Linked DNA regions of Arabidopsis thaliana. The protein of the gene in region 3 binds, or shares a complex with, the protein of the main gene of each other region. Each region holds a gene or a part of one and is shown on either strand. Other genes may lie near its edges.

Region 1 (3,407 bases), on a different chromosome or scaffold from region 3:
AACTATAGGAAGCGCGCTTGCCATGGGAACAACACATGAATCTGTTGTCTCTTTGAGTCAGCTCGTACTTCTGAAAGTTAAATACAGCGACTTACCAACGCTCATGTAAAATATTCAGTGATCAGTATATCGATGAATCATGAATTTGATTGTGTATATATAATAATACTGCTCTGTTTTATAGGTTTTTCGTGGTTGCAAACGCCATTTCTGGTGGATATTTGGTTCTTTCTCTACCTGTGAGTATCTTTCATATCTTCAGTACTCAAGCTAAAACCTCGAGAATCATCTTGCTCGTTGTCGACACGGTAAATATCTCCCTCTTTAAGAGAACAAAACAGGGCACCAAATATCCAACTAACTTGTGACCCAAGAAAGCTAACATTTTAATGAAAACCCATATATAAATTTAAATTTGATCACTCAAAAGTGTTATGATTTATGGTTTCTATATATAATCAGGTGATGCTGGCTTTGGTTAGCTCTGGAGCATCTGCAGCAACAGCCACCGTGTATTTAGCTCACGAGGGGAACACAACTGCTAATTGGCCACCGATCTGCCAGCAATTTGACGGATTCTGTGAACGCATCTCGGGATCTCTCATCGGTTCTTTCTGCGCAGTGATCTTACTCATGCTTATTGTTATCAATTCCGCTATCTCCCTCTCTCGCCACTAAGATATCTATGCACATATATATATCGATCTGATTTTGCAGAGAAATCACGCAAACGAAATGTTTCTTGAATATACATTATTAAGTCTTTTAATTTTATATCTAATGTAACGAGTCCAGAGATTTCATGTGAAGAATGAAGAAAGACATATATACAATACAACTGAATTAAGCAAGAAACTCCACAACATTGTCTATCGATTTCAATGTCTTCTCGTAGTAAAGATAGGACTCGTACACCTTTGGCGTCCGTACATAGAAATCCAACTGTTATATCAAAATTATGAAAGATATCAATATTAACATGTGGTTAAAGTTTGACTTCCATATGATCATGTGTTACAAAACGCAACATTCAGTGTTATTAACAATCAAACCTTAAATTAGCATTAAAAATTACTAATTCTGTTTTTAATTTGTTCATTAATTATATAACGTATACCTCACTCATGTTTTCGACAAGCTCGTTTGCCGCCTGAACGTAATCATTCCGGCGACTCTCCGGCAAGATGTTCATGGCGTTGGTGAGATCCTGAGACAGATAAGCCTGTTTCAATCTTATGTAGAATATAACGTACCTCCACGACATGTGGTCCAACATCTCCCTCATGTCTCTTAATCCTTCAGCCGTCTGTTTTATACGCGCCGCCGCATCCTCAGGTGATAGTCCCGGCATAAAATATTTCTCCTTTATGAATGACCTTGTCCCCCATTTCTCCTGTGCTAATGCTGATGACGTAGCACCGCCGATGACCGTGAATGTTATTAGTGAAGTCAAGGTTCTCCGGCGGGTGAAGATGTCTTGTTGGGGTTCTCCGGTGCAACATACGACGGAGAACGGTTGGTTTACACGGCGATGATAAATTTTCCGGAGGAGATACGGTGGCGGAGTGTTGGTGGTGGTGAAGGAGCTCATTTGATTTTTGTTTTTGTTTTTCTTAAGGATATGAAATGGGAGGAGCTCAAAACTATAATGTCTACTCGGTCTTTCATGTTTTGCCACGTCGGCTGTTATCTCTAAAGTTTTGTATTTTAGAATTTGTGAACATGGGCCCATAAGACTTTAAAGCCCAATATTATGGAAACGACGTCGTCAAATACACTCTGATGACCGAAACGATGTCGTTGACTACGAAATAGAATCAAGTTGTGTTCTCTGTGATGGACATTGTGTTAGTGGTAATCAAATCCGGTGAAAATGGAGCGGAGCCGAGTGACCAGAGAAGCACCGACCGGAACCAGGATCCTGCTTGCTTCACTCTCTGCGATGGTTGCAGAGTCAGTTACGTTTCCGATTGATCTCACAAAGACTAGAATGCAGCTCCATGGTTCGGGATCCGCTTCTGGTGCGCATCGGATTGGCGCTTTCGGAGTCGTATCGGAGATTGCGAGAAAGGAAGGAGTGATTGGTCTCTACAAAGGTCTATCTCCGGCGATTATCAGACACCTGTTCTACACGCCTATCAGAATCATTGGATACGAGAATTTGAAAGGACTCATCGTCAGATCTGAAACTAACAATAGCGAGTCTCTTCCTCTCGCCACAAAGGCTCTCGTCGGAGGATTTTCTGGTGTTATAGCTCAGGTAACGGTGTTTCTTCACCGGTAAATCTTTAGAGTCATGTTTTGACTGTAAATTGGATCTGGATTAACAGTTGCTTAGAGTAGAATTAACATTTCGAATTGAACAATCGATCTCTATGTATAGTTTCCTTTGAATATGTTTCGTAGAAGAAGGTATTAATTAGAAGGAGATTTTGTTTCAAGTTTTATAGGCTTTCAATGTTCGTTTCATTCCAAAGTTAGCTGCTACTTTAGGTTGGTTCAGAGATAAGAACCAATGCAGATCCTAGTCATAGACGTCTCAATGTATTTCACAGATCCTTAATCCAAAATTTGTGCTTGCTTGTTGTCTCCTATGTGTTACAATTAAGTTCTCTCAGATCACTGATTACCTATGGAAACTCGTAGATTTCCGGCGAAGTTAATTATTAAGGATTTTCAATTGTTTTTACGCTACTGAAGTGAGAAATGTAGCTATCTTTTAGGTTGTTGATATCTTTAGAATTGACATTTGAGTGTTGTTTATACCTACACCACACTAAAATGCTTCTTATTGTGTCCATACTAGAAATGCAGGTAGTGGCTAGTCCAGCTGATTTGGTCAAAGTGAGAATGCAAGCAGATGGTAGATTGGTGAGCCAAGGCCTGAAACCGAGGTACTCGGGACCAATCGAGGCTTTTACCAAAATCCTACAATCAGAAGGAGTAAAAGGGTTATGGAAAGGTGTTCTTCCAAACATCCAGAGAGCATTTCTAGTGAATATGGGAGAACTAGCTTGCTATGATCACGCCAAACACTTTGTCATCGATAAGAAGATTGCTGAGGATAACATTTTTGCGCACACTCTTGCTTCTATAATGTCGGGTCTTGCTTCGACAAGTTTGAGTTGTCCAGCTGATGTGGTGAAGACGAGGATGATGAACCAGGGTGAAAATGCTGTGTACAGAAATTCTTACGACTGTTTGGTGAAGACGGTTAAGTTTGAAGGAATAAGAGCTTTGTGGAAAGGTTTCTTCCCGACATGGGCAAGGCTTGGACCGTGGCAGTTCGTGTTTTGGGTCTCCTATGAGAAGTTTAGACTGCTGGCAGGAATCTCTTCCTTCTAGACCTGAGAAACTGGAAAAGCAAATTTGAGATTTGTGTTCTTTAGTTCTTACTTGTTAGTTGT
Region 2 (3,763 bases), on a different chromosome or scaffold from region 3:
CATATATTGTTGTTATATGTATTTTTGATAGTGAACAAATATTAACATCTTATAAATAGCTTTATACATGAAAATTAGAAATTGATATTTCGAGTTACAAATGAATCTAACCATAAAAATTGTAAATAATATGGATCTAATTTCATTAACAATACAAAAATAAACATAAATTAGCAAAACTAACAATCAATCTAAATATTTTTTAACAATTTTCAAAACAAACCCACGCGTAGCGTGGGTACTCATCTAGTATCATAGTAAAAACTGGTATGGAACTTACGAATAGTTTGCACAATATTAAAGAAAGTGTCAGAGATACGTTAAAGCATTTTCTTGTAGAGAGACTAGGGATTAGGAGTGGAGCTGGTTTGTCACTTGATGTTCCAACTCGATAGAACTCGAAGGTGTGTTTAGCTCCTCGGACTCTTCCACAATACTGGAACACTATATTGTTGTGTTTGGACCAGGGGATGAAGTTAGCGTGTGGCATACGTCAACCTCAAATTGTATGGTTTATCCACCATTGTATGAACTAATGATGGGTATGGAAACTCGTTGGGTCCATACGAGGTACTTAGATCTTAAAAAAACATATAGTGAAGAACAGAAACCTAACACTACAAGATGAGAATCTAGGTTTTATGGTACTAAAGAAAAATAAGAGAATGAACAATCAATATTATACACATTGTACCCCGTTCATTCATCAATTTTATAAAACAGTTTACATCAAAAGTCATGATTATAACGAGATCACAATCCATTATCTTATCGTGTGGCGATATCATCTTTCTCAATGGTGAAATCCCATACATCACCATATTTGTCATTAAAGTCCCAAATGCTCATTGTGTTGTAGTCATTAATGAGCTTGTCACGAGCTCCTCTCTCCAATTTGTATATCTGAGGCTCGAAGTTGTGTGGCTGGTCAGGTTTATCCATCTCTATTATACAGAACACTACCGTGAATAACGCTGCACCTATGAACAAGTACTCACCCTGCAACACACACACACAAACACTGGTGATTCTTTTTCTTCTCATACTTGGCTTAATTATCTAATCTCTTGTACGTCCTCCACAAAACAAAAGCGATAAAACTAGTAATGATAAATTTTGGAAGCAAGCAAAAGATTTTGAAGTTACCGGAGCATCAAAATACATCCCAAGAGCTATAGCAGGAAGAAACATACAAGAGATCAAACCTGCAGACATAAAAAAACCGCGAGTTTTCAATCAATCTGCGGTACATAAAAAGCACTAAAAAGCGGGTTAAATTCATACCTTGAAACCCATTAGTTTGATCCACAGCAGCAATGTCATCAGCAATTGCTCCCCAAAATGTTCCTAAGAAACATTTCCAAGAAGACTAATCAATCAATCAAACAAAGAAATATTATAGCTCTAAAATCGAAACAGCGACAAGAATCAATAGGAGAAACCAAAATTATACCCTTTTGAACTTCTCCTTCATAGTAAGTATGAGCTCCATCGTAATATCCATACTTGAAATCTTCCTATTAACAAAAGCGCTAACCAATCAGAAACAACTTTCAGCAGAATTATGAATTTAAAATCAATTGAATCTTTACCATTTCAATGCTATTAGTCTCGAATTGACCAATCGGGTCTTCGTTGATGTCTGGTTCGATCTGTGACAATCCAGCCGCTGAGACCAGCTTCGCTAACTTCAATCTCCGGCCGGATTTGCCGCATTTTACGACATTGACGATCTGATCAGAAACCCTAGCTCCGAATTTGGAATCAGTGACCTTTGGAATCGATTTGGGTGAGAGAATCGTGACCGTTGCCATTTTTTCACTCACTTTATCTTTTTCTTGCTCTGTCTCAGAGTTTTGGAGCCATAGAAAGAAAAAACGGTTCTTTTTTTTTTTGTGTGTTCGTTAGCGAAAGAGATTAGTAGTTTACTGGTTACTGTCTGTCATATTACCAAAGTGACTGACAAGTTCGTAAGCGTCACGTGGAACGTATTCATTTGATTGTCTTCTCTAGTTGGTTAGTGAACGCTTACATCGCGTGAAGACTATTGAAACGGCCCAACTTTGTCTTTGCTGAAATCAACAATATATATTAAGCCCAATTTGATTTACGTGACAATTGCTTAATTATTAAATTCAACCCAATATTTTCCTATATCCAGTTAAATGTAAAATTCAGTTCAGGTTAAACATCATAATACTTTGCATATTTTTAATAAGGAAAAAGCAAAACAAAAAAATAATGTATTAGCCGATTTATCGAATGCCTAAACAAGAAAGATCAATAACATTCTATGGACCAATTTGTTGAATCGTACAAAATGGTTTTGTTTGTCTAGACGCCTAAACAACCTGTTTTTAGAACTTTGTAAAGGATCTATGTAGTTGGCTTTGCTATGTTCGAATTAGTAACAAGGTCAAGGCACTTCATTGATTTAGGAGACAATGACATAAGAATCATAAAGAAATGATTCCCAACTGCAACTAATAAAGGCTGGAGTGGTTGGAGAGTAGGGTAAATTAAATGCTTTGCTCTTTCTTTGATTAATGGTTACCAATATCATGTCATGTTCTAGGGTAAAATTATTATAAACCAATTTCTCTATCATTTTACTAATGAATAGAATATCAATTTATCTCAACTACTTAGAATCAAATCTCACCCAAATTTAAACGCAACAAATATAAATTAAGATTTGGGGTTTAGGTGGATGGATTGCTACGAAGTACAAACATTTTTGATGTGGAAACTAGAATAACAAATAAAAGTCGGCCAAATTTTCAACGACAAATACATTAATGTTTTAATTTATGGACTATTGCGGTTAGGTACTTGTTATCCACTTATCTTCTTAATTCATCGAAGATATTAGCTTAATGATTTGTAATCCATGTGACATGCACTTACACATGTAGTGTTTATTGAATTATTATTATTTTTTTGTTGAAAGGTTTAGTGTCTAATGAAATGCAAATATATATTTGATTCCGATAGTTGAAATCAACACTAGTTAAGCTCCTTTTTTCTTCAATATTATCTATAGAAAATATGTACCATAATTTGCTTGAAGAATTTGAGATATCTTACCGATATAACTAAAGGTGCAGAGAGATTAAAAATCATAATTCATTTTGGAAATATTTTTTTTCTAAAGAACTCATTTTGGAACACACTTTTCTACCAACTACGAAAAAAAATTCAAACTGGTTTTGTTTATTTAAGATTTAAGAATGACTTGAAAAGGTAGAATTTGTAAAACCAATGAAGAAGAAAGAATTGTGGAGTGGTAGAGAATGGTTTCTTCAAACTTCTAAGAATAATTGTTGAACGTAATTGCTTCGTTTGGTAGGAATTTTCTTAGCAATTAGAATCAGTTCTATGTTATATAACAAACATATATTTTTGCATTACTTACCACACAAACTCTCCCCAAATTGTGTGTTGACACATACCAAATGATGATATAAATACAAAACTTATCACGCACGCGTTAAAGATTCACACGCATGTTATTGACTTGTGAAAATCTCACAAGTAGTTAGTACACATGAAACGATAGTTTAGTTTTGGGTTATGAACTTATGATATGAGTTAATGGCATCATTTTTTTTTTTTTTTTTTTAACACGAACTTCATTTTTATTACTTAGGAAACGTAGTCTGAAAACAGAGCATTTGAGATACACAATGGGATAAAGCTATGAACTATGTATGAAGACAGAGCATGTTTCTGGTTTTTCGCTAAAATATCAGCAGGTTGATTT
Region 3 (4,015 bases):
AAATCAAAATGTGATCGACGACATTTAGTACTTAACCGTTGACGTCTCAATTTGGGTTTCCAGTGAAAGGCTTATAGTGCTTAGTGTGCAGACAATTTTGGCTTCTTCACGTGCTATCACCCTTCATTTACTCAAACTAGTCTGAAAGAACAACAAAATCCTTTATCACTTCATCTAGTTCTATTAGCTTATGTGCGTTTGTTATGCGGATGGACTGAAGTTTGCTTGATAAATTATGCTTCATGTTTTTCTTTTGTCATGGGACCATTTATAGTCTTTTGATTATACTCTTAAACTGTTTTCATTTTTAGTGAAATATTTACATCTTAGGAAAAAAAGAAAAAAAAACGTAGTCAAAATGTGCATCGAACAGTTCTAAGGAACACGTCTAAGGAGGATTGAGTCAGGTGCTACATATATATAAGACTTGATAAAAGGGTATTGTTGCAAAAGGTAGTGAAAAAAGGGTAGTTTTGCAAATCTCCCTAGTTTTTATTCCTACTATACTTCCCAAACTAGTGAATTCCGCATTAGTTATCAAAACTACTATTTTGTTCGCTTTGTTTTATATAAATGAGACTATTTGGATTAGCTAGGTAAGCATAACAAAATATAGCTCTAAAACAATGTTTGGATAGCTTAGAAAAAATCCAAAAATAACACACACACAAAAAAGGTGAGGAACAGAACCACTAGACCACTTTATTTTAGTTCAAATGATCTTATAATCTGTAATTGTTAATCTTCCATCTACATATAAACTATATGAATTTTCCAAGTATATACAAAGCTCCTTACCTAGTAAGAAGGATCTTTGAAAACAATCACAAAAGCTATACAACAAACAGCGAATAATACGATCAAAATATCGAACGTGAGAGCAGTCATTGCTTGATCACTAAGCTCCATGTTTCTTCCACCTAACCGGTCAACCATATCAGGTATTGATTCATAGCCCCTAAAATCTTGCTCTTTCGGATCCTCTAGCTTCATTCTCATTTTCTCAGCTTGACGACTCGCAACTTCTTGAGCCAGTGTCCAGTCATAAAACCTCCGAGTCTCTTCATCGCTCAAAACATTGTACACTTCTCTTAATTTCATGAACTTTTCTGAAGCTGTTTTAAGTGGTAGTGAAGTTGTATCTGGATGATACTCTTTAGATAATCTCCGGTACGCAGATTTTATCTCTTCTAGATCAGCATCCGTTGAAACACCTAAGAATCTGAAAATGATTATTGTTACATGTTACAATACATATTGAAAAATAAAAATAAAAAGATATGTAATGAGAATGTTTGTTTTGCTCACTGGTAATGAGAATCAAAAGAGTCTTTGATTAGTTCTGCAAATTTTTCGTCACTAAGGAGATTGGTTTTGTCCTCATCAACCGATTTGGCCGGGTCGGATCTTCCTCCGATCCAGCCTTCGTCCGGGCTTTCCCAGTGGATTCTTGTGTCTACTCCTGGAGATGGTTTTGACGGTTTAGTCGGGCCTTGTGACGCGTATATACGCGTCACTCTTCTTGCTGTTATCCTTCTAAATGCTTTCGTGTCATCCGTGAAATGCGCGCCGTTTTGGATTTTGGGTAGGATAATGCATGAGGTTCGTGCATAGGTAGAAGTTGCATAAGCCATGGCTCTGTGTTGAAGATGGTTTGTTCTTTTTTTTTCTGCCCTTCATGTTTTTGGTTTCTCTTACCGCAGAAACTTGTTCCAGAACCTCATGATATGTGTGGTGTAGATTTTCTTTATATCTTTTGTTGTCCTATCTAGTGTCCATAGGAACAAAAAATTTAAATAATTAAATGTCAACAAAAAAAAAGTATGAAACGTAAAGATATAAGAGACAAAACGTTGAGAAGAGAGGGGCAATGAGAGGAAGAAATAATGTAGAGATAAATGATTTCTTTCTTTGGAAGCGATGTCTAAATATGTTATGCAACAAATGTGTGCGTTTGTAATATATATAGGGTAAAAATAGACAATTGTATCATAATTAGGATATGACCCGCGATATACCGTAAATTAAATTTATTTATTTATTTTTCTTTATCACAAAATATAATTTGTTGTTTGTTGTTGTTTGTGATGATTAATAATTATCGATAAGGTTGTGTATGTTTTTTATTGAGTCACAATTATGATATTAATAAGTCTAATATATGTTATTTTATCTTTTAGGATTTGACTTGTGATAGACCATACCACGGGATAATATTTTATTTTATTCATAATTTGTTATAAAAAAATTATTTAATATAAACTTTTGGTGTTTTCAAATTTAATCCATGGAACATATGTAGTTTAGTAACTTTATATTAAAATTACACATTTAAATGTATCAAAGAAGAATAACATTTAGAGGTGTCAAAGAAGATTAACACTTATACTAAAATGTTGATTTTATTTATTTTTTTGTAACTAAAAATTTGAAATTAAAATTGTATTTGTTATGTTATTATTGTTTGTTTTGTTTACTATTGTATAGTTGTAATTTGATTGTTAATTCTAGGAGTACACCCGTGGTATCCAAATTTTTCCCATCTAAACTCATAGCACCATATAATCTCGTCTCATCCAAACCCGTCCTACCATGTAAACTCGTCTCCTGTAAACCCGTCCCGCCATATAAATCCGTCCCGTGATAACTAAAAATCAAATTGTTCTTTTTCTTTTTAATAATATTTTTATTTAATATACTTCGAGTCGGTTTACAATTTCAATTTAAAAAGAAAAATTGTATAATATATTGAAATTTTAACAATTTCAATCTAATAAGAATCAATATCGGATCGTTTCGAAGATTTTATATCGAATTCTTTGAACAAAAAATAACACAATTTCTTGTTAAATATTTTGTATCTTTTAAATTAATGTATTTCCTATTTGTATATTTTATATTCAATATATTTGGTTTTGATATAAATTAGAAAATCCGTTTAAATAATTATTAAAATTTGAATCCCGAAGATATTTATGTGATTTTTTATAATTTAAAGATTGTTGTTGAGATTTTTTAGTGTCTATTTTTTGTTGCATTTATTTGTTTGCAAGGTCTATCATAATTAAGGTGAAGTTACAAAAAGATCTGTAAAGTATAATATCGTTCACATATTGATTATAGAATTATTTAGATTATTTTTAAAAAGGAAAAAATTACAACATATGCCATATTTTTTCCAATCCTTATGCAATCTGCCATAATTTGCTGGGCCTTACAACTCATGTCATATTTCATACTGAAATATCGATTTTGTCCCTCTCCATTTCTTCTCTATTTTATCTCTCCTTCCTTGAAATCTGTGCGCTTTAACCATATATTATTATCTTCCCGAAGATGAAGCGCTTTTGTCACTCTCTCACTTTCTTTGACAACCTGCACAGATTCTTTACATGTAACTTTCAATTAAATTTGTCTCTCAATTTTATTCATCACAATATTTCTGTTGTATCTAGATCTTGTCCTTGATTTCATCATTTTTTACCATCTATTTTGGTCCACAGATTAGTTGAGCATTATTGTTTTCACCGACACGATTTTTTTTTCTTCTATTGTAAAACAACAAAAATATTCAGTTATTACATATTATCTTGTCTATCATTCGATCTGACTTTGTCCCCGATCCAATTCTATTACTCATTCGATATGAACTTGTCCCGATATAACATATTATTAAAATATGTTAACGTGTAGGTGAAGACAATAACGCTCAACTAATCTGTGGATCAAAATAGATCGCAAAAATTTAAATAAAATTCAAAATTATTAAATGAGAACAATTGCATATAAGATGTAGGATTCATAATAATAGAGCAAGATGGTGAAATCGAGGACAAAACGTAGATGCAAAAGAGAATTTCTATTCGAGGACAAGATCTGAAGACTAAAACAAAAGTCTTGCTCCAATTGTTCTCCGCTAATAGGTAATCATGTCTCCTAACGCATTATATATTACGTTGTCCCCCGCTATCAGGTAATCATGTCTCCTAATGTATTATATATTACGTTGTCCCCC

Evidence for each region.
Region 1: NdhT (region 3) and PnsL2 share a complex: the UniProt entries of both Arabidopsis thaliana proteins name them as parts of the chloroplast NDH complex.
Region 2: NdhT (region 3) and PnsB5 share a complex: the UniProt entries of both Arabidopsis thaliana proteins name them as parts of the chloroplast NDH complex.

Annotation. Positions count from the first base shown.
Region 1 is NC_003070.9:4,838,069-4,841,475, reverse strand, and holds PnsL2 (PsbQ-like 2), read right to left. Parts: upstream 1,676-3,407; 5' UTR 1,592-1,675; coding exon 1,118-1,591; coding exon of another isoform or gene 1,103-1,117; exon of another isoform or gene 943-1,102; coding exon 844-942; 3' UTR 679-843; downstream 1-678. Other genes in the region: AT1G14160 (Uncharacterized protein family (UPF0497)), read left to right, coding at 1-105, 185-308, 463-678; UCP3 (Mitochondrial substrate carrier family protein), read left to right, coding at 1,874-2,260, 2,815-3,345. UniProt on the Arabidopsis thaliana protein: NDH shuttles electrons from NAD(P)H:plastoquinone, via FMN and iron-sulfur (Fe-S) centers, to quinones in the photosynthetic chain and possibly in a chloroplast respiratory chain.
Region 2 is NC_003076.8:17,579,332-17,583,094, forward strand, and holds PnsB5 (NAD(P)H dehydrogenase 18), read right to left. Parts: upstream 1,945-3,763; 5' UTR 1,815-1,944; coding exon 1,593-1,814; intron 1,518-1,592; coding exon 1,454-1,517; intron 1,348-1,453; coding exon 1,285-1,347; intron 1,206-1,284; coding exon 1,147-1,205; intron 1,000-1,146; coding exon 769-999; 3' UTR 536-768; downstream 1-535. Other genes in the region: AT5G43755 (non-LTR retrolelement reverse transcriptase-like protein), read right to left, coding at 3,646-3,763. UniProt on the Arabidopsis thaliana protein: NDH shuttles electrons from NAD(P)H:plastoquinone, via FMN and iron-sulfur (Fe-S) centers, to quinones in the photosynthetic chain and possibly in a chloroplast respiratory chain.
Region 3 is NC_003075.7:5,930,519-5,934,533, forward strand, and holds NdhT (Chaperone DnaJ-domain superfamily protein), read right to left. Parts: upstream 1,958-4,015; 5' UTR 1,635-1,957; coding exon 1,309-1,634; intron 1,223-1,308; coding exon 799-1,222; 3' UTR 592-798; downstream 1-591. UniProt on the Arabidopsis thaliana protein: NDH shuttles electrons from NAD(P)H:plastoquinone, via FMN and iron-sulfur (Fe-S) centers, to quinones in the photosynthetic chain and possibly in a chloroplast respiratory chain.